Caenorhabditis elegans: one gene and its partners. The gene in region 3 interacts genetically with the main gene of each other region. Each region holds a gene or a part of one and is shown on either strand. Other genes may lie near its edges. The genes, in order: B0280.9, pros-1, clk-2 and yju-2.

Region 1 (4,374 bases), 390 kb from region 3:
TTTAATCTTCAAAAAAAATAATTAAAAAATGGCCAAATTGACAGATCGGAAAAGTTATAATTGTAGGTTTTTCGATAAGAAATCTGAATTCGTTTTCCTCTCAATCAAATAATCAACGATCACAATTCTAGAATTAAGACATCAAAACACAATAAAATCGGGTGACAAGTAGGTCGGTAAGAGACCATTGGTTATTGTGCTCCAGTGAAAAATCTGCCGAAAAACGGACTTTGGAGAAACAAATTAAACTTTTCTTGTTCCTCTTATACTAATTCTACCAGACTTCACGTGAAAAACTGACATTCATTGTTAATTTTTCGTCATTTTCGATCGTTCGTTGTGTTGTTCAACCCTTTTCTAACTGGCGACTATTGAGACAATTCTATGTCACTATAGTGTACAAAGAACGATCAAGTCATTTTTCGGTACAGACTAGGACTACGTTCAACTGTTTTTGAATTTTTTGTGCAAACGTCGGTTTGTATTTTTAAATCTTCCAGTGGTTCAAAAGCTGCTCTGGAAGTTGGAATAAAAACGATAAATTTTCATAACAACAAAAAAACGGATGAAGAATAAAAACAAAACAATTTGGACGAAATCAACGACAAAGAAAAGAATAACAATGTTAGAACCAATTAATAGTCTGTAAAATGATGAATTTCAAAAACATGAAGACGTCCATCATCGTTTCCAACGGCCATATATCCTCCATTTGGAGAAAACTCCACACATCTTGCATGTGTCACTTTTCCGTTTCTTTCCGGGAAGTTTTTGAATGTTGTCTGACTTGCCACGTGGACGAGACGAAGATGATTGTCCTTGACATTTGAACAAATTGCCATCAATTGAGCATCAGAATTGAAAGCGATTGATGAGACCGCGGTGACGAGATTAGAAACATTGAAAAGTGGACGAGGATTTGTAGAATTGCGGCAATCATTTCCAGAATAGACATTCACGATTCCGGTATCACTTCTGGAAATTTCAAATTTTCATCATATAATCAGGATGTATGTAAAGACTAGGTCATTTATTTTCACCGGAATTCAACAAAAAAAGATTTTTTTTTTTAAATTTTTGTTGCTAAACTGAAAATATCAACAAAAAAAAAGATGTAGCAAACTGTACAATTATATTAATATATGAATTATATGAATGAATGACAGTATCGTGATTTTACGAATTATAAAAGTTTGATTTTAAAAAAGCTTACCCAGTCGCAAAGTAATCTCCATGTTGGCTGATGGCGAGTGTTGTTCCGTGCACAGCTCCATCGTCGGTGAATGTATGTTGCGATGATTTGGTTCCCGGCAATCCAATGTTTGCGATCACAATTTGGCCGGTCTCTAGAAATTTCGAATAATTTTTGAATTTTTGGCAATATAAAACCAACCGCAGATGATCCAAATTTCACGGCTGTGCGATGGGAAAAACTTGATTTCTGACGCATTTGCTGGGAGTGATATTGTTGTGATATGCTCCATCGACTGAAACATTTTACATTTAAACTTTTAATTTGCCAATAATTTAATTTTTTGACATACAGTAGCATGGAGAACATAGATGTGAGAATTGTGTCCTGCAATTGCCAAAAATTGAGAGTCATGCGAAATGGCAAAGAGCCGAATTCCTTGCTTTGGTACTGCTGTAAAATGTTCAAAGTTTTGCTTCAAATTTTATTAAATATTAAACGTACTGTTTGGAGGTTTCAACTGTGTCACTTCTCTTGTTTCCATATTGTACTGCATCAAATATTCCTTTCGGCTTGAAGAACAGATCACAGAGTGTCCTTTATCAGCAATTTCCAGACTATCAATCGGGAATTTTGAGAAATTCGCACTTTGAAGGAAACGATCCTTTTTAACCTCACGACTTACCTGAAATAAGTAAGGAATGGTTTAATTAAAACAGAAAACACAACTTACTTTAAAAAGTTGAACATTTCCACCTTGATCGGCAACAATGAGCACTGGTCGGGTTTTATGAAATTTAACAACAGTGATTCCACGAGTGTATCGGTGTCCGATGTTGAAATCTTTTATAAGAGTTGTATGAATAGTTGTTTTTGGTAAATTCACGTCTTTCGCCAAATATCCGGCAGCAGTTTTCAACAATGACCCTTCTTCTTCGTCTCCTAAAATTGTAAAATACGATTTTTGAACTATTGATTTTCCAAAAACCTGCAGCAGCCTTAGCCCATTTTGGTGTGCCTCCGTGGCGTTTTCTGAACGCCTCTTGCAATCTACCAACGTATTCCTAAAATATTAAAATTATTTTTCAGAAGTAATTTATCCTTCTGCCTATTTTCAATTATATAATCTTTATTACACGTTGAATAACGTATTTCTAAAAAAAATTTACCTTTGAATCCAATTCTCCATGTTCTTCGTCTGTGGTTCGCTTGAGTTCAACTCGCATTGTCATTTTCACTTTTTTTGGAACCGCCACAACCATATTATCGTCGTCCTCATCGTGCCACGCAGGCTTTTCAGACTCAATCACTGGCCGTTTGCTCATTTCTCTGAAAATTGTTCAAAATAACCTTAATGAAAGATTCAATAAGCTGAAAATTAAAGAAAATTCGGAAAAGAAAAAAGAAAAATGAGAAGCAATTGTCGTCAAATAGTGTGTGTTATCGTAGTTTTAGTGCAAACACCGTCACGTCTCAATGCAGAATTTCATTAATTTCAGTATTTCAGCTGAAAATTTCAGTCTTTCTTATCAATTTACTATTGTTTTCGTTTTCTTTTCAGCATTTTTGTATGTTTTCTACAAAATTTCCATTATCAGGAGTATTGCGAACCGCCAGAATGGTCACCTCCACCGGCCCTGAAGCAGAACTGGCTCCTATTGAGCAGGCGAAGAAACGAGTAAGTCAAAAATTAAGACCAATTCCAACCCTCATTAATCATTTCAGGCTGCGTTTGCCTGCGGTGAAAAATATGTGCAAAGTGGTTGCCGTCTTGGTGTTGGATCCGGAAGCACTGTCAAGTATTTGGTAGAATATCTTAAACAAGGATTTCAGAATGGAAGTCTCAAGGATATCATCTGTGTTCCAACCAGTTTTTTGGTAAACAGATTTTCAACAAACCCAATTGTTATAAATAAGTATTTCAGACAAAACAATGGCTGATTGAGTCTGGTCTCCCTGTCTCCGATTTGGATTCACATCCAGAACTGGATGTGTGTATTGATGGAGCTGATGAAGTTGACGGACAGTTCACGTGCATCAAAGGCGGAGGTGGATGTCTGGCTCAAGAAAAAATTGTTCAAACCGCTGCAAAAAACTTTTACGTGATCGCTGATTATTTAAAAGATTCCAAACACTTGGGTGATCGCTATCCGAATGTCCCAATTGAGGTAAATTATTTAACTTTTTATAATTATCAGTAAAGAAAGATGCACTAAAGAATAAACTTTAGAACAATAGTTTTTTCTAAATAGATGTAGTTATGTTGACTGTTTTTAATGAGATTTATTGCAGGTTCTACCTCTTGCTGCTCAACCACTTCTACGTTCGATTCCACGCGCTGAAGGTGGAAGCTGTCAACTTCGACAAGCTGTCAAAAAGTGCGGACCAATTGTGACAGACAATGGAAACTTCATTATTGATTGGCAGTTCGAGAAAAACGTATCCGGAAGAGATTGGTTCGCGATTCAGCAACGATTGGCCAATACACCAGGAATTGTTGAAACCGGATTATTCATCGGTTGCGTCGACGCAGTATTCTTCGCGTACTCTGACGGATCTGTCAAGGAAATTGTCAATTCCAAGAAGCACTGACTACTTGCATCGAATTTTGTTCATATTGAAAATTAGTTGTTTCTTATCACCACCACACTCTCCAAACTTCACTTTTCCTCTTCCCAGTTGTTGTGAAAATTGTACCCATTCATTCCCAATGTTCCTAGTATACGTGTAGTTCTTAGAATAGCCCCAATAAAAATTGTGTTGAAAAAACGTCTTTCTTAAAAAACTGAAAAAAAAATTAGAAAACTCTGAAAACGTTTTGAAATGTAAAGTGTCTGGATGTAAAGTGTCTGAAACTGTTTAATTTCAAATTACAGTAGTCTTGAAGTGTATGAATGGCGAGGATAGCTTAAAGATTGAAAGAAATGAGAATTTGCTTCCTAAATGACTCATTGGAGGCGGTAAAATTAAGAGCGAGCAATAATTTCAAAAATACTGATAAAGTTGGGAAATAAGTAAATATTTCAAAATTTTTAACAATTGCTGTATTAAAAAGCACTTTCGTCAAATCGTATCATTCGTATTCTATTCATTCCAGATTGTTCAAATTTTAATTTCCAAATGATTACATCTGAATTGAGTGATTTCCTCGAGATCAACGAAAAAAATAGTGTTCTAAGAGG
Region 2 (6,408 bases), 550 kb from region 3:
TTAACAGCACTACAGAAACTTATAGGATATGCTTTTGATTTCTGTATTTTCTAAGAAAACTACTTGAATATATTCTTCTGAAAATTCAATGTGCATCTGGAATTCTTTTGACAGTGCAGACTGCGAAAATGCCTCTATGCCTGCGATGCTCAAAACTTCATGAACCCTAGTGTTTGAAAAAGCTTTCACAGTTTGGAAAAAACCACAATTAGGGATCAAAATCAATATTTACAAAAAACCAAAAAGATTCGCTTTCAATGCGACCTACGCCTAGTTTACCACCTAGTTTCCTACGAGTTATGACTTTTAGCAAAAACTCTTCAAAGCACAGGTAGGTAGGTACAAAAATGACTGAAAATGTTAGAGTTTATGCTGACGCGGCCCACCAGGTTGCGTACGTACAGGCGTTATTGCTTCAATGATCCTAAGTATACACAAAGATAAGAATTTAGAAAAACTTAACTGGAAAATAAAAGCTCAGCCATTTTTTCGAGAATTTAATATAAAATTTTAAAAATCAGAAAAAAAATAAGTACAAATCTCAAAATCTTTCTAGAATGTTCTTCGAAAAAAGAAGACGTTGACGAAATTAAGAATTCAATCTTCGTCCATTGTTCTGCCAAGTGCATAAGATTCTTCTCTTCTCTCAAATTTATACGATGAAAAATTAATGTTTCTTCCGATATTCTTCTTTTCACACAATTTCTTTTTCTTATTTATATTCTAAAACGAAAGTGTCAAGGGAGAAGAAACTAAAAAAGGAGAAATGTTTAGGAGTCATGGTGATTTGAAAACTTTGAAGTATACTTCTATATGTCCTCCTGTCCTAGGTCTCCTCTTGTCCCATTAAAACTTCACACATTTTCTTTCCCAAAAACTTTAGTCTTCTTAAGAATGACGTGAAATTTATGGGAGAATTAAAGAATGCTCCTCTCAAATTTCTTTCTGTTTCTCTCAAAAACTACCGTAGTCGTCCCCAATCGTCTCCATTTTCATCTTCTTCAACCTTCTCCAGAGACCCATTACCTAAATTGTTTCTTGTGAGCTACACATATGTGCCTCCTTTTGGCTCCTTTTAGTCACTCAGACAAATCTCTTCCTTTTTGCTTTTCGCAAAAGGAAATTAGTTTTCCACTTAGGTTCTCAGCATTTTCAAATTTTATTGGAAATTTTCCGAAGCTCCATTGGTCTTGAGCGAAGAGTTTTTGTAAAAAATGGTGCTAAGAGAAATCTTAGACTCTCTATAACTTTTAGCGATCTTGATTGAAGTTTTTTCTGATCCCGTAAGATTTAGAGAATTCATACACGACATGACGCCTAAGTACCCTATAGATACTGTAGACGTCTTCCAGTAAAACATCTGAAAGTTGTTTCGGTATGGAAACAGAGATTATGCTAATAAAATAATTCGGCAGAAAGTGGCAAGTCACTTGTCTTCGCCCGTTTCCTTTTTTGCATAATCCTACTTACGACCGTTATGATGTTGATGATGATCGAAAAGATTAGATGTATTTTTGAGTATGACATAACAAAAACTTTCAAGTTGTTACCGTAATCCACCCCCTTCAATTTCAATATGTATATCCTTGGCTCTTGTATATGTGTATGTATATTCTGATTTAATAACATTTCGACTCCCCACTGTGCTTTTCTTGCCTTCTCTTTATTCGTATTCAATTTCAATTCTTTATTTTCTTTCAGGTATTCCAATTCCAATTGTCAAGAATTCAGATAGCTAGTGACGTCATCAATGTCATCTGGATTGCCTTCGATTGCTGCTACCGCACAACCGAGTGCCAACGGATTCAGGTAACAGACTTTTACCCTGGAACTCTTTAAAAAACTAACAAAGTTTTAGCTTTAACAACGGATTCCCACCATTCGGTATTTACTACTCTCAACTTCCCCCTGTTAACTCTAACGGATCCACCCCGAATTCAAGTAACCGATTCAAAGTGAAACGCCATCGACAGAGAGTTGACGCCGGTGAACCAAGAAACACATATCAGGTAGGCAAGAAACATTTTTAAACCGGCAATACAATACTCCGGACTTTTGTCTTGCATCTCCATTTCTCACCTTTCAAAGCTTATCTCTCTCTGAATTTTTGACGAAATCAAAATGCCAAACGCAAAACCAAACGCATATAAGTTTTCAAAGTAGATTTCAGTTAACTCAGTTAATTAGTAGTAGCTTTAGTTAACTGCAACGTAAATGTTGGAAACTTTAAAGTTGACAAAAATGGTCAAAACTAAATTTAACTGTACTGTAAGTTGGTATGTTTTTCTTGGCAAAGTAGTTCAAGGAAAACACAGTTTTCTAACTGAAACGTTTGATAATCCCGACAAAATCGAAAAAATAAATATGCAAATCTACGTGTCATAATCATAAGATAAGTGTCTTCCTGTATTTCGGCGGCGACATATACATTGTTCCTTTACTTTCCCATCAACTAATATATTCATTTCGTGGCGGTTGCTAATCAGCTCATCTCATTCTCTCTTTTACTCCTTCATTTTATTCCAGGGAGCCTCTACATCAGTCTCTTCAAATAGTTCTTCATCATCGTCTACATCAAATACAAATTCAACACCTTCTTCATCTTCAACATCTTCAAAGAAGTCAACGGAAGGGATGACTGAGACGGAAACGATGACAGCTTCAATTGAACAGGTACGAGAAGAGAGAGGAAGAGGGGATAATAAGATTAGCCTAGTTATTTATGATACTTTCTTATAGGAAAAAGTGATTCAAAATGAAGAATCGGAAGCTGGTAAAGATGGAATGGAAGAGCATGATGATGGAATGAATGATTTCGAAATTATTGATGATACAAATGATGAAGTTGAAGAATCAGAAGAACGGGAGAGCCCTGAAAGTAACAGTAGCTCTGCTTCAAAAAGGAAAAGCTTTCAACCACAGAAAATTGGAGAGGAGTTAGGAATTGAATTTGGAGATGGTTAGTTTTATTAATTGATGTATCATATTACCGTTGTTCTTGCATACTTACTTACTTGTTAGGTATTCAGTAAGTCAGTAAGTTTGTTAGCTAGTTAACTACTACTTCACTTTGAAAAAAAAATTCTCACTTCCTTTTAAGCAAATCAATAAATATTACACTACAAAACGATAGTCATAACAAATATTTTGTCAGTTGACAACTTTTGAATAGAATCAACGACCTTTGAAATACATATAAGCTGTCAAATTTGTAGTACAAAAATAATAGAAAACATTAACTTGATCATAAACTTGACTCATAAACTTGACTGTCTTAACTTAAAAGAAAATTTAATAAATTCAATTTTGCAGAAACGGAGCAAATTAATGTTACTGTTGGAGGTACAGAAGAAGCCGAAGAGACTACAGATGAAGCTGAAGGTAGAGAACTCTCGGCTCTTCAAGCTCAGCTTCAAAATGGACATATCGCTGAGCAGCAGAGACGATTTTATGCTGCATTTTTAGATCAGCAACGGAAACAGGTTGCAGCGGCACAGGTATACAATTAAAATGTTCATTAACTTTCTAAACTGAAAATGTTTAGATTTTGCACAATGGAAAGATCAACATCGAACGTCTTGTCTCCTCGGTTAAAGGAGATTTAGTTACCAATTTCATGAAAGATTTGGAAAAGGTGATCCGTGATTGGGCTGCCGATGAAGTATTAAAGCAAGAAGCTGCTGCTCCTCCTCAGATTCCACAACCTCCACCTCAATTCCATCCAATTTTCCCTGCAAACCCATTGTTCCACATGGCGCCTCCACATCGTAAGTTATTTACACAGCTTTTCTATTTGCCCTTTGACCAGAAAAATGTCGGCCGAATGGTCTAGTGGTATGATTCTCGCTTTGGGTGCGAGAGGTCCCGGGTTGAATCCCCGGTTCGGCCCAACATTTTTTGAAAAAATATTTGCTTTTTGCTCTTGTAGATCCAGTTGCTGGAGGTGGAATTTTTCCTCCAAACTTCAATGCATTTAACGCATTCAACGCTCTCCGAAGAAATCTTCAAGACGTAGATACCTCGTCGGAAATGAAAAAGAAGCGAACAAAGGTGGAAATCAAGAAAGAAGACGCAATGAGTAGCCGTGCATCACCATTGAGTGCATCTGCCAGCCCACCACTCTCCAGATTCTTTCCAGCACCAACTATGGTTGGACACTACGGTGGAATGAACTTTGGAGATCGAGAGGACTCACCAACAAATTCCGATGAGCTCAGTGAATGTGGATATGAAGGTGGTGGCTCAAGTTCAATGTTAACACCAATGCACTTGAGAAAGGCAAAGCTGATGTTTTTCTACACACGATATCCAAATTCAAATCTGCTGAAATCGTATTTCCCTGATATCCGATTCAATAAGAATAACACTGCACAATTGGTGAAATGGTTCAGTAACTTCAGGTTGGTTTTAATAATGAAAATTCTTCTCTGGTACTCGCCATTGATTTCTTAACTTCATGGTTATCTCCTGTTGTTTTGTTGTTTGGAGTCATAATGACCTTTCCCATTACAAATACTGCTTCATAATTCGAAAAAGTGATGAGGTGAAAAAGAAAACAAACAAATCCTCGTCTCTCTCAGTCCAACTCGTTTCGTTTCAAACAATGAGAAAAGGGTCTTAAGGTGTGATACGCGTCGTTGGCGAAGAAAAGACATCATCATGTCGACGTCTTCATCATAAAAATGTGGGCAAAAAAAGAAAATGAAGAAGGAGAAGATTATTTATATTTGAATTGGATTCAGGAGATGAAGTTAGGCAATGGGGAGACGAAATCAAATAGGTTCTTCTTATACTGTACCAACTCAAATATTTTCAGAGAGTTCTACTACAATCAGATGGAGAAGTTCGCGAGACAAGCTCTCGCTGAGGGAATTACTGATAGAAATGATATTTTTGTGTCAAAAGACAGTGAACTTTTCAAAGTTTTGAATACACATTATAACAGAAATAATCATATTAAGGTACGGTTTCTTTTCGTAAGCAACACTAAATTTATATAATTTGCAGGCACCAGATCGTCTTGTATTTGTGGTTCAAGAGACTCTTCGTGAGTTTCATGATGCAATCAAACAGGGAAAAGATATTGAACCATCATGGAAGAAAACAATCTATAAGGTAGGTAGGAGTGCCTTCATAACAGAGTTCTAACAATAAGACAGTAGGCACGCGTGTAGGTATGTGATGGGCGTTGCCTACGAGCAGGTCTGCATGAAATGGTAGGCGCACATGTAGGCATGAAACAGGTGCACAAGGCAGGAGTGGCAATTTTTGAGTTTCTCAATTGGTGCTCAAATATTTTGAAAGCTCTAAACTTTTGTGTTTTGCCATATTCCAATAGAAAATCAAACTTACCCTTTTTGCAGGTTATCAATCGATTGGAAGATCAGATTCCCGACTTCTTCAAGGAGCCAAACTTCCTCGAGCGTCTTGAAACATAATCACCATATATTCCCTCTCATTATCAGTTTCTCAATATTTCAGTTTTCCTTGTTTATGTGTTCCATTGTGATTTTAAAACTTTATTGCCCATGTTTTCCCTCATCCCATTCGAATATCAATTACCCCATCCAATTTAACTCTCATTCCTTGACAACTTTCATTCTAAGTCCCCATTTCAAAATGTGCAATTTAATATTTATTTGAGCTCTCTGGAGCTCGTCTTCCTCATTTTCTTTGTCAAACGCTTTTTGTGTTATTGGTTTCAATTGAACATTCAAAAATTCCCAATTTTGCCACATGGCATAATCCTCCAATTCTATTATGGTTTCCATTTTCCCCAAAACTTTCTGTGCCTCCGATTTCTATATTTTCATTCGATGTTTCTTATTGTAATATTGGTATGGAAAATATGGAACATTCAATATCACTTGCGGTCCTATAATTAAAACCAGAAACCTACATGCATCTGGCCCGGAAAAAAACAGTATGCAGACTTCTTATCGGTGTGGCTAATAGTCAGTTTTGCTATTTTTGCTCCTATAACACGGCACACGGTCTCACGATATTTTTATTAAGTTCCAAAAGGTGTGCACCTTTAAAGAGTACTGTAACTTCAAAATCTCGTTGCTGCGAAATGAAAGAAACAGGATAAAAGTGAAAGAAAATTCTGCAGAAATGAATGTTTGAAATTACAGTACTCTTTAAAGCCACACACCTTCTCGCATTTGATAAACATTTGTCGTATCGAGACCGGATACCGTACTTTTGGTACAACATCGCAAAATTTCTCGCCCGTGTAATAATAATCTTTAAATAATGTTAAGGTATACCCCCTCTTGTGTGCAATTCATAAATGGCGGCCGAGTGATAAAAAAAGGAAAAGTTTCCATTTTTTAGTAAGATGTTCCAATTTTGGTTCGAAAATAAAAACAAAAAAGATAACAAGTAAAACTGTATATTTTCAGAATA
Region 3 (5,828 bases):
AACACGATGGGTGTTGCAGCAGAAGATTGTCTTCGAATCCTGGCTTCTCATCTGCCTCTTACGCGTGTCGTTCTGATCTCCAGGCGAATTTTGAGTCAAGATGATGATGATCAACGTGGTGTTCTGATTCTGAAAATGTTGACGAGAATGTTCCAAGATATTGATATTGAGGAGTTACACTTAATTGTCAATGACGTTGCACCATGTTTTGTCACTGCCTACGAATCAATGTCATCTACAGTAAGAAAATGTGCAGTTTTCGGATTAGTCGCCCTGGTTCAGAGAGTTGGAATGCAAAGAATGGAGCCACACTTGAGAACTTTAAATGCCAGTAAAGTAAGGATTTAACTAAATTTCTTGAAGAGACATTCGATTTTCAGCTGAACCTAATTGACCTGTACGTGGGCCGCGCCAAGTCATCCGAATCAGGAGCATCGTCTAACTAGAACACAAGAGCCGGAATGTTTCAACAAGCGGGTCAACTCAATCAGTTTTGTAAAATACATTTGATAAGATTTTATTTTTGATATTATGAACATGCTGATAAATGAATGAGACAGGTGATATCAACGGGTGGCAAAGCAAGAAGTGAACGAGGTAGAGATCAAAGTGTTGGCAAGATAGTAAGAAATGATACAGTACTTGAAAAGAAGGAAAACAAGTGAATAGTAACTATTTAAACGTCTTGGTGTTGCAGTACAGCTGGATGATAACGTTGAAGGTGTTTTGTAACACTATGACCAAACTGGCGAGTCATATCCTTTTCCAATTGTGATGAAGATGCATTAACCAGTACAGAATTGGCCCAATCAAACCATCCAATAAGTGCCGGTACATCAAACAGTTCATCCATAAGCTGAATATTTGGTTAAACATCAAATAAAATTGATTTTCAAACTAACATCTCCAGGCAACAAAGTCGTCACATTCAGATGGGCAATGATGCAGGCAGTCCGTAGTTTTGCGTTTTCAGAGAATCGATGAGGCGTTGCATATGATATAAGCTCACTGAAATTCAGGAAAACTAATTTGTACACAACCTTGTTAAAAGGTATACCTTGACATTCGATGAATTTGAGGACATACGCCACATCTCACATAAACCATCGATGCAACCATGATGAGTGAGGCGAGTAGATCGGAGTCCTTGCCCTGAAATGTTTCTAGTTAGAGTAATCAGACGTTTAAATTCTAAAATTGCTAAGATAAAACACGTAATAAACTAGGAATTGACAAGTTGTGAAACATATGTACTCACCAAAAGACTTGCGTTCTCACCACGTGGCAAAACCAACAAAGGATAAAACATATATTTGGCAGCTTGTGCGAGACGATTGACAACTCCGGCTCTTGGTGGCTCTCGCGTCGTTCCAATTCTTCTGGTATTTGCAGCAATGCGAGCATCCACCATTCGTCGCCATTCAGGAACTAAAAGTCTGTGGGGATCTTCATCCTCATCGTCATAATCAGTGTTTATAGTTCGATGAAGAATAATACTTAACGTTGGACCACCAATTCTCAATTGTTGCGCCATTACACACTCTTCAAGTTTCTTATCCAATGCACCCATTCCATCAGCAGCATTGTGAATGTAATGAAGAAGACGTTGTTTGATACTGAAACCTTGACCTGGTGCAATGATCAGACGCACTACAGATGGGACAATTTCTGGACGCTGAGTGATACATGCAACTGCAATTTCATCAACAGTTTCCTTGAATTTAGGCGTTCCAAAATTGTTTTGAAGATGGAGGATTCGGATGAACAACTTCTCAGCGATTTGTGGAAATCCAATTGGCCGGCGATTGATCAAATTCGTAATATTAAAGAAAGCTGCTTCAAAAACCTCGTATTTTTCTTTCTCTAATAGCATTTCGAAAGCATCTGCAATGTATGCTGGAGGTGTCACTTTATTTTTCGGTTCTTCTCCAATTTCTAAATTCTTGAAGATCTTTTCTGATTCATTAACTTGATAGTCAGGAAAGTCTTCGTCATCATCAGAATCTAAACGTAGATTGTTTTTCGATGTGATTGCTGCCGAATCTTTGTTGTTTTGAAGACGCTGTGCATTGGTTTCTTCAAATTCTTCACCCGAATCGTCTTTGGTTATTTCGTTGGCGGTTTCTCGAACTCGCTCAGAATCTTTCACTGTAGAAGAATTAAATCCATGTTCCAAAATTGACGTCATCTCTTCAAACCATATTTTTCCCACTTCACTTGAAACGAATTTGTTTTCTTCTAGAGTCTCTGGAGGTTGCTCATCTGATCCGTGCGTTTTCGATCGATGCTTTGTCGCTTGCTTGCACAGTGCTTGATTAACAAAAATACCACTTTGGACGTACATAGGCAACATGCTCATTCGACAATGAACTCCATCCATAGAGTTCAGGAAGAGTGACTCCCAATCGATTGAAGAACATGTTCTAAAAGGACAGGTTATTACTGTAGTTCTTAATATATTTGTTACCTGAAAAGATGAACCAAGTATAATATCATTCTGACTATGTGTCGTTCTTGTGATTCTGGAGCACTTTTTGCGTAATTGAGATCACTCCAGATTTTCACAGAAGTCTGGAAAAAAACTTCGCTAAATACGGAAAATATAGATTCAAAACCCTACCTCTAATAGCTGGATGGCAAATTGTTCCTTAGTTCGATAAACAAAATTGATAAGAATCTCGATGGTCTTTCGTTTGAGAACTCGCTGAAACGGGAGCTTAACCATCACTACACGCTTCAGTGTTCCAGTCAGATCAGTGGCTTCGATACATCGCTGAAAGAAACTACTGGTTTTCATATAATCAACTATATTTTAACCACTAACTTTCAAGATTTGGTCACTTTTCGAAATTAGGAACAATGTTGTCAGTAGTGATTCATGAACTTGAATTCCCTGATATGTGGGCTCTTGGAAGATGAGAAACATCATCCGACGCCATTGAGAATCAAAATTGTTTAGTGAACCAATCCATTCAATCATTTGAACTAGAAGCCCATCCTTGTTGGTGATATCTATGTTTCTTCCAGATGAAATAATTTCTGCGACAGTCTTCATATAAGGACCACCGGATCCGTAGAATGAAGTGAACGGGGCAGCAGTTACAATGTCGTCGTGAGCAAGAAGCATAGCCTTTTGAATTCCTTGCACCAGATTCATCTGGAAAATTGAAGTTATCTATCTCGATATTTCACTTATAAACCCACTTTGAATATCCACTTAACCGTGTTGATATATTTGACATGCTCGCCAGACAATGCCTTTGCACAACAATTCGAAACTTTCTCCGGAATATTTGAACATGCTGATGCGAATTCTCGATACAACTGAACTGCACTGACTGAAAAAACAAAAATCCTCAGTTGAAGAATAATTATTTTTGATCACATACCATCAGTTTCTTTAACTTTCAGACTGCTACAAATAGCACTTGTCAGCGATTTTTCAACGACATACTTCAACCAGTCGAGCATGGTGATCACATCTCGAAATGTGGTAGTATTTATATCTGTGCTCACTTTTGTCAAACATTTCGAGAAGCAAATTATCGACTTTGTTGGGCACTGTGTATCAAGAATCGGCTTGATTTGTGTAAGATACTACAATTAGAAATATAAAACATTACACAAATATTGAATTCAGGACAATACCTCGCTATCGGTCAAAAATTTGCCAAAATAGTCGATTGATTCACAGATCGCCTCAACTGCATTGTCGTACTTTTCCGGATCATTCTGCACATCTTTGAAAATTTGAAAAAGCACAGCACGTTCCGTGGCATTTACCAGGCGACTTCGTAAATTCATCTGAAAATTTGTTTTTAATGCGAAGCTCGCGTTCAGGAAAGGTAATTGAACGTGGAGTAGTAAATTAAACCAGGTTAGGGTTTAATAATGCACGAGAAAAAATAGAGGTAAATACGTTTATTGAGATTCTGAAAAAAAAATCAAAAAATATGTTTTAAAAAAAGTGAAATTACCGGTAAAATAATAGGAAACAAAAATAGGATCCGCGTTTTCTTAGGATCCACGTTTTCTACTTTTCTCCCGATGATGATGTCTCCGGAAATCATCTCCTTCACTTTGACGTTTTCTTTGTCGACGAGAGTGGGGAGAATCAGATGGAGAATCAGAATCTTCGGATGAAGAGGATGAAGCTGAAAAAAAAAGTTTAATTAAAAAATAGACAATAATTTTAAGGTAACTCACTGTCATGTCTATTAGTTCGTCTTCTTCTAGAAGTCTTATTTTTATCTCTCTTCTTATCCTTCTCTGCTCCTGAAGCTTTCATCTTCTCTTTCAAGCGTTCTCGCATTCGAATTTCCCTCTGCTGAAGTAGAGCTTGCCTCAATGCGTCTTCTTGTTCTACAGGTTGTTCTTCAAGTTCTTTGATTTTGCTCAGCTCATCTTTCAACTTTTCTTCTTCTTTTCTCTTTCGTCTCTCTTCTCGTGCTTCAATTTTTTCAAACAGAAACTTCAAAAGACGAACACCTTGCAAACGGCGAGTGGCTCGTGATCGTTGCTCTGCTTCAAGTCGTTCCTTTTCAAGGCGTTTTTTCTCTTCTTCAGCCATTCGTTCGAGTTCCCTCTGAAATTTCGTATGTTTTATTATGATTTTTTGAAACGTTTCAAGTGAACCTTTTCGCGGCGTTTCCGTTCTCTATCTTCTCGTCTTCTATCTTTATCATCGAGTTCTTGTTTAACTTTCAGTTCTTCTTGACGTCTGAAGAGGTGAGTTATTTTTAAAATTGTAGCATCAACAAACTTGATATTCAACTCCTCTTCTTCTTGCCGCAGTCGTTCCGTTTCAATTTGACGTCGTTCTTCCGCTCGCTTTGCAATTTGAACTTCGCTGAGATGACGTGATCGATCGAAATCCACCTATGAAATTTTAAGCTATTTCTCAACCTTAATTCTGGGAAATTAACTAACCTGTAGAGTGGCACGAGGTGATTCGTTTCAGCGAAGAATATGCAATTTTTAAAATTGATATTGAACGTTTAGAAATAATGTGATAGATTTTTCAAAATTGCAAACTAACTCTACTACCCTACTATACCTTGACATTAGCCTGAAAGAACCGTCCATCAATTCGTTTTGCCCATTTACGATTTCTCAGGGAATCCATGGCAGTGGCGAAACCTTTATACTCCATAAATTGCACATATGCTTCAAAAAATACATCCTAAAAATTCAATTCGTTTGATTTTACAAATAAAACACTGCGATACCTGCCCTAATCCGAAACCTTTTTGCTGAATACCAGAGATTTTTGAATTCATTCGAGATCGGAGTGGGTCACAAATTGGAATGTCGACAACTCTAACAGATCCGAACGCTTCCATTGCAACGCGAAGACGTCGTTCAGAAGGAAGATCATTGTAACCATCCTAAAAATGTGTTTGGTGAAATAAATTCGAATGCAATGTTATGGAGCAACGTACGCAGAACCATTTCACTGGAATTCTTGCCAAATAAACTGTATCAGGACGTTCTCCGGGTTTCATCTCGTCCATCTTATGTTTCATAAACCAATCATCCCAATCATGACGACTTGGAAAATCAAGCTTTGCCTCTTTTGTTTTAACTTTCAAGGGCTCAGCAAATCCAGACACTTTCATAGAGAATCCATCGAGAATCTTCATCGTTTTCTGCATGATTCCTAGCGAAAGAAGTTCCGCTTCAAAAATAACACTGTCGATATTGCTCTCACGAACTTTGCAAGAATCCATTTGAATTGGATCAATTGCACGTTTTAGTCTTTCCATGAGATCCCAATTAGATATTGATTGTCCCGGGATCGTCATCTACAATTAAATAATAAATCGATG
Region 4 (5,771 bases), 330 kb from region 3:
GCTCCTTTTTTACAGTTTTATCGGTGTTAACAATTTGGTTCATCATTATGAAAGCGGGATTTATTATAATTGCTCTTTGTTTTCTTTCTTTATTGCGAATCGGTTCAACTGCTCCAATGGGTGTTACTGTCAAAGCAAGTTATGATCAACAGATTATAAATTTAATAGGTCGGTACGTAAGATATTGTAGAATCTGTTAGAATATCGAAGTTAACTTTACTTTCCAAAAAATCTTTTCCAAGTTTTTTCAGTATGGATTTGTCCAGATCCAACACTTTTTGCAATGGTCCAATCAGCTTTGCAACAATATCGAACTGTTGATGACATCAATAAATCAGTTCAAGATCAAGTTTCGGGCTACCGTAATGCCATTTGGTTAGTGAACACGATCAACTACAGTAGGACGACAGCTGACACGGATCCTGGTCCCAACAGATCTTCCCAGAATTTGTGTTTCGTGCAGGCGCCAAATGAGAAATTGGTTGTTTTCGTGGCAGCAGCGGTAGCCTGATATGATTAAAAAATTTGTGTACTTTTTGGAATGAAATTTATAATTGATTTTTTGTTTCAATTCGAAAGAATGAAAATTATCTACAGAAAAGAGTTAATCAGAGTCAGAACCAGATCCGTAATCTGCGAGAAGTGAAAGTCCCGATGAAGCAGCTGAAGATGGTAGCGGAGGAGGAGCCGACGATGTAGATGAAGCAGTAGAAGATGTAGAAGGTTCAGATGGCTGAAAATAATAAATTATGTAACTAGGTCAAATTTTATTAATGCTCTGCAGATTTGAATTTTTTTTCATGTTCCCATATTATTCACAATCAGACACGTAAATTTGCTACAAAAGACGGTCCCCGGTCTCGACACGACAATATTTATAAAATACAAACGGGTGTGTGCCTTTAAAGAATACTGTGATTTCATAGCTTTGATTCAATGATTTCGCAGTAGTTTTTCGTTAAAATTATACTTATTTATTCTTTTGTATTCTGTATTCCTTCACGTCTCCCAGCGAGCGTAATAAATTATTATTATTATTATTTAAACAACTAAATAAAACAATTTAAACCACACAAAGTTTACCAAATTGAAAAAAAACTGAAAAGTAGATGAAAATTCCGCAGCATCGAAAGTTTGACATTACAGTACTCCTTAAAGGTGCACACCTGTTCGTATTTTACAAAGAAATGCGTGTTGAGACGGGATGCCGTATTTCTTGCGCAAAAATCACAAAATATCGCGGTCGGGTACTAAAAAAAATAATTAGTCAAGTTTCGAAGACATAATTTTTAACAACTGCAAAATTTGTTTTAAAAAATATTGTAGTGAAAATAAAAACAGAAATTTCAAAGAACATGCGCCTACGCCAATAAAAAAATTTGAGTGATGTATCCAGTGGATACAAAATTTAAATGGACTCCCTGACGTGTGGGCTGCTTCTACACTTTTTTTCTGCTCAAAATGGATTACTTTTCTGATACCCTACCTCATCAGAAATTTCACTATTTTTGAAATAATTTCTGGATAAACGATTTTCTAGCAAAACGGAAAACCGAAAATTTTCGTTTTCTCGGCCTTGAAAAAGATCAGAAAGTATTGATGTATATTGCGATAAACTACAAAATATCGAATCCGTTTCTTATTTTCATACCTTCGCTTTTTTGATCAATTTTATTCCCGCGAATCGATCTCTCTGCTCATTTCGTTTTCTTGAATTCCCTGAATCATCCATTCCAAGTTTCGGGATCGCTGGTTTAAGCATGGAAGAAGTAGATGGAACAACCGATGCGCTTGGACCAGGAATATCTTTATCATCTTCATCTGCACCATCTGAGTTATCCTCATCATCCTTAATACGTCGCTCGATTCGTCCTTCTGAAGTGATTCCCATGAGTTCTCTGAAAATTCTTGATTTTTCTAATTTCTTTTAATATCTTGACATACCTTGCCATTCGATCATCCTCGTCCTCCATCATTTTAATTCTCTGAGCTTGTGCGATATGAGGATCAGTTGACGACAAGAAACCAATGGTGTCGATACATTCTTTCGTTCTGCTTGATTCTTGAAGATCTTCCAGATTTCCCATTTCTTCCATTTCTTGACGACTTTGCATTGTTCTCTTTTCGAGCATTTTCATGGGATCCTTCGCATCTTCTGCTTCTTGTTCATCCACTTGTTTTTGTTGATCTTGGTAAAGCTGAAAATTAAATTATAAACGTTGCATATCTTTTATTCGAATTTTTGGACAAAAACTTTCAAATTTTAGATGATCCAGATAATTTTTTAATATTAAAAATGAAAAGTTGGAACTTCTCGGAAAATTCCGGGCATTTGTCACTACTTTCAGACAATTTTTGAGCATTTTTCAAAGGTTTTAACTAAAATGAAAGCTAATTTGGTCAATTTTTGTGAAAAATATTGATTATATAATTATCTTTTATAACTAGTTGTTTTCTTTCCAACGGTTAGATTTATCATGACCTCATAATTTTTTTTGGAATTTTCAAACTAAATGTTTCATAGTCACTCCTTCTCATATATTTAATCTAATCCTTTTCTATATCCTGTCATTGTTCTCATAAGCTCTTTGTTGCCGAGGAAACATCTCAAACTCTTCAATTATACACACCCACAGCCTTTTCTCATCTTTCTAATGATTTCTCGTGGCATACCGTAGTATTTTCAAAGATTTTTTGTCGAAAAACACTCTCATAAATAAATCTCTATGGTTTTCTTTGAATCCTGAAACCGTCAAGTATTGAAGTTTTTCTGCTGCCTAGCCAAGCTTTCATAGCCAATGCAATTATTCTTAGTTTCTATGTCACTTCCTTCATCTTTTATTTTTGACAGAGATCATCTTGAAATAATCATTCTCATGACAACGCCTCTTCCCAATTTCTATTACTTTGCACCACTAAATGGCATTTGGTGTCCACCACCTACAAGTATCTACACATTTTTTTCAATCTCGGTGAGTACAGATTCAGACAATTAAGGTCTATATCGCATTTCTAGAGCCCAGTGATTATGTACAGTCAAGTTCAAAATCAGATGTGGAAATTTTCGATTCCTAATCTAAATACATTTTATTCAAATATTATTCAACTGACTGAAGATCAACCTATGCATCTTTTGGAACCAGAAAAGCCAATGGAAATCGAAGTTGAAAATAGCAGTCACCTAGATTTTAAGAGGGTAAGATTCCAAAGTATATGGATTTCAAAATAAATTGTATTTTTAGGAGAATTCAGAGTATGACTTCAAAGTGGAAAAGGCTGACTACTCAGGTACGTCGGAATACTCAAAAACATAATATTTTTTATAATTCAGATATGCCTCAGCTCACTCGTATGGACTGTTAGCTACTAAAAATGTATAACTCAACATAACTTATTTGCAAATAAAGTTTTTTGTGCTTTTTCAAATAAAAATTATCTAAACACTCACTTTGACAGCTTCAAAAAGTCTTGTTGCTCCATGCTCATTCTGATAATCACAGTTTTCCAAATCAGTCTTGAAAGTAATTTCAGCGAGGCAATTAGGACATCGGAAATAGAATCGGAACAGTTTCAAACCGAGATACGTTTCTCCTTCAGCCGTTTCACGCTTCATGTTGAACTTTTTACCTGAAAATTTAGAATAACACATAAAGATTTTTTGGAGATTAAAATTTTATTTTTTTAATGGTTTTTTTTTGCTTCAGTGAACAAAATCACAAATTACCTTTATAAATATACTCATGGCATGTATTGCATTGCATGTTAAATGGTGTCATAACACGTTGAACGAATTGTCTGTAAAACGAAAAAAAATAAATGAAGAACTAAATTAAAAACAAAACTAACCTGTTTTTCTGTCCCTTTGCTCGTGGTATTTTTGATGGATCGAAATCCGGTGGATAGTATTTCTGAAGTTAGAAATAAATTAACAAAGGTACTCTTTTTTAACTGTTTTTTCTGCAATTTTTCATATTTAAACTAGCAAAAAAGCATGTAGGATAGTACTTTAGAATCTTCCTCACCTGGAAAACTTTTCTCTCGGTTCCTGTCATTGTTGATCACCTGTAAATTCAAAATAAAAATAAATGTATTGGTAGAATTTGAGAAAAACTAAATAAACGTCAATATTCACAATATTTTGTTTCGAAACCTAGAGACTCTATGTAACTCAGAGACGCAGAGAACATTTGCACTGGAGCGTGTTTACACTTACACACTTTGTAGAAACACAGATCCCGTAGAAAAAGATTTGTTGCAATTACATTCACAGTAATATCAAAATTATGAAAGAATGGTAAGTAAATAGCGATGGAAAAAAAACCTGCAAAAACACAGTAGCAAAAAATAATTGATTTAGCCGTAATTTATTCAAAAACTGAGTGAATGGGCATGAGCACAAGTGTAAGAATATGTACAAGAAATATCAAAATGTACAGGAAAATCAGGTTTTTGGAACTGAGGATGCACTAGAAGTGACATAAATTATACTCATATTTTTGAGTGGCACATTTGGGAAAAAGATAACGAAAAAAGTTAAAAATAAATGGCACGAGAATTTGAACCCTTTTGAACATATTTTACATCTAATTTTGAGCGTTATTTCGAGCAGCAGTTGGATTATTGGTTGGTGTAATGCTTTTGACGAATTTTCCAACAAGTTCAGTGAACATGTATGAAATACGGCAGAATGCAATTTTCGGAATTTCCTCTTCGTATTTTCTATTCCAATTTGCCTGAAACTATCAAAATTTTCAATTTTTAAATTTAAAATTAATTTCGAACCGGATAGCTGGTGATGATGAAAAATGGGAAGAGAAGTGCAAAAATGACACTGTTCACAAACATATTACTGCTGATTGAGCAAGCAAGTGCCAGGGGAGTTCCAAAACCAAGGAAGTACGGCCAGTGTGATTCGAAAATATCTTTGCGTCGAAGGAATGAAAGGTTGTAACCGTCGAAGAAGTAATCGAAACTGAAATATTATTAATATTATTTGATTTTCAAAGTTTCAGCTAAATCTTTTTTACCATTCTTATTTTAGAAATTTTGGCGATATTGGTGGTTCTGTTGTTTTTCTATTTTCAATTTTTGATACATTCCATTGGAGAGGTGCTGAGAAAGCATTAAATTGACTGATTGGCAAAAATTTAATTTATCGAAACTTTGATTTATTTTTAGTAAAAAAAATGTTTAAAACTTACCAGTACATTGAGTTAAGTAGAGCCATATGAAGATAAACGATAACTGGTGTGATAAGAGGAATTGGAAGATATTGCGAAAGCATTCCTTGAATGAGGAAAAAAATTTGATGGAGCGCAGAAATGAGAGTTCCCGCTAACATAGAACTGAAATTTTTTAGTTTTATTTTTTTGAAATAATTATTAAATAAACTAACCTAAAAGGAACGACAGGTGGTGGTGGCAATTTTAGAGCTCTCATACAGGCTCCTGAAATATCTGAGAACCAAAGTGCCTGAATGATTCGAGAAGCAAAAAAGATGGGAATAATCAGAATGTAGCCGATATTGTGACCCAAATCAGTTCGATCGAAAAAGCTGAAGAATAGACCAAGAATCAATATACAGACCTGCCACAGAACCAAGAAACCGATATTCATAGCATAGATTTGCCAGAGTCTGAAATAAAATTTATTCAGTTTTTAACATGTAAGTATAAAATACTTTTTCAAAAAGCTATCTTTCTTCTTCGGTGGTTCAGGAGGTCTTTTGAAAATTCCTTGTTTTTCTCGTCTCATCATTAAAACTGTTCGTT

The links.
Region 1: changes in clk-2 (region 3) and B0280.9 together harm fitness more than expected from each alone (negative genetic interaction), as found in Caenorhabditis elegans (one large-scale study listed by BioGRID).
Region 2: changes in clk-2 (region 3) and pros-1 together harm fitness more than expected from each alone (negative genetic interaction), as found in Caenorhabditis elegans (one large-scale study listed by BioGRID).
Region 4: changes in clk-2 (region 3) and yju-2 together harm fitness more than expected from each alone (negative genetic interaction), as found in Caenorhabditis elegans (one large-scale study listed by BioGRID).

The regions. Positions count from the first base shown.
Region 1 is NC_003281.10:7,120,375-7,124,748, forward strand, and holds B0280.9 (U3 small nucleolar RNA-associated protein 18 homolog), read right to left. Parts: upstream 2,522-4,374; 5' UTR 2,518-2,521; coding exon 2,362-2,517; intron 2,257-2,361; coding exon 2,181-2,256; intron 2,135-2,180; coding exon 1,926-2,134; intron 1,878-1,925; coding exon 1,697-1,877; intron 1,646-1,696; coding exon 1,545-1,645; intron 1,488-1,544; coding exon 1,394-1,487; intron 1,347-1,393; coding exon 1,214-1,346; intron 976-1,213; coding exon 636-975; 3' UTR 531-635; downstream 1-530. Other genes in the region: rpia-1 (Probable-ribose 5-phosphate isomerase), read left to right, coding at 2,811-2,870, 2,918-3,070, 3,118-3,360, 3,485-3,784; B0280.2 (uncharacterized protein), read left to right, coding at 4,313-4,374. UniProt on the Caenorhabditis elegans protein: Involved in nucleolar processing of pre-18S ribosomal RNA.
Region 2 is NC_003281.10:8,065,588-8,071,995, forward strand, and holds pros-1 (Homeobox protein prospero homolog 1), read left to right. Parts: upstream 1-1,701; 5' UTR 1,702-1,750; coding exon 1,751-1,809; intron 1,810-1,858; coding exon 1,859-2,009; intron 2,010-2,526; coding exon 2,527-2,673; intron 2,674-2,739; coding exon 2,740-2,959; intron 2,960-3,312; coding exon 3,313-3,497; intron 3,498-3,544; coding exon 3,545-3,767; exon of another isoform or gene 3,768-3,898; intron 3,899-3,928; coding exon 3,929-4,400; intron 4,401-4,816; coding exon 4,817-4,961; intron 4,962-5,007; coding exon 5,008-5,115; intron 5,116-5,363; coding exon 5,364-5,438; 3' UTR 5,439-5,876; downstream 5,877-6,408. UniProt on the Caenorhabditis elegans protein: Transcription factor involved in developmental processes. Controls the transcription of genes required for excretory canal formation.
Region 3 is NC_003281.10:7,514,721-7,520,548, forward strand, and holds clk-2 (Telomere length regulation protein clk-2), read right to left. Parts: upstream 3,805-5,828; coding exon 3,649-3,804; intron 3,598-3,648; coding exon 3,390-3,597; intron 3,339-3,389; coding exon 3,205-3,338; intron 3,158-3,204; coding exon 2,825-3,157; intron 2,774-2,824; coding exon 2,621-2,773; intron 2,572-2,620; coding exon 2,468-2,571; intron 2,424-2,467; coding exon 1,259-2,423; intron 1,153-1,258; coding exon 1,058-1,152; intron 1,009-1,057; coding exon 903-1,008; intron 857-902; coding exon 677-856; 3' UTR 502-676; downstream 1-501. Other genes in the region: cls-1 (Protein CLASP-1), read left to right, coding at 1-336, 381-446; akap-17A (RRM domain-containing protein), read right to left, coding at 4,018-4,154, 4,207-4,585, 4,636-4,720, 4,763-4,878, 5,057-5,182, 5,229-5,387, 5,442-5,804. UniProt on the Caenorhabditis elegans protein: DNA damage checkpoint protein required for DNA damage-induced cell cycle arrest and apoptosis, thereby playing a role in genome stability. Regulator of telomere length.
Region 4 is NC_003281.10:7,182,629-7,188,399, reverse strand, and holds yju-2 (Splicing factor YJU2), read right to left. Parts: upstream 4,065-5,771; 5' UTR 4,053-4,064; coding exon 4,023-4,052; intron 3,909-4,022; coding exon 3,847-3,908; intron 3,796-3,846; coding exon 3,725-3,795; intron 3,628-3,724; coding exon 3,449-3,627; intron 3,448-3,448; exon of another isoform or gene 3,364-3,447; coding exon of another isoform or gene 3,332-3,363; intron 3,289-3,331; coding exon of another isoform or gene 3,243-3,288; intron 3,197-3,242; coding exon of another isoform or gene 3,017-3,196; intron 2,973-3,016; coding exon of another isoform or gene 2,877-2,972; exon of another isoform or gene 2,827-2,876; intron 2,199-2,826; coding exon 1,945-2,198; intron 1,899-1,944; coding exon 1,652-1,898; intron 734-1,651; coding exon 605-733; 3' UTR 532-604; downstream 1-531. Other genes in the region: F37C12.21 (uncharacterized protein), read right to left, coding at 1-43; F37C12.10 (uncharacterized protein), read left to right, coding at 48-168, 252-511; F37C12.14 (Ovule protein), read left to right, coding at 2,877-2,972, 3,017-3,196, 3,243-3,288, 3,332-3,363; epg-4 (Ectopic P granules protein 4), read right to left, coding at 4,584-4,733, 4,783-4,972, 5,202-5,345, 5,396-5,635, 5,681-5,771.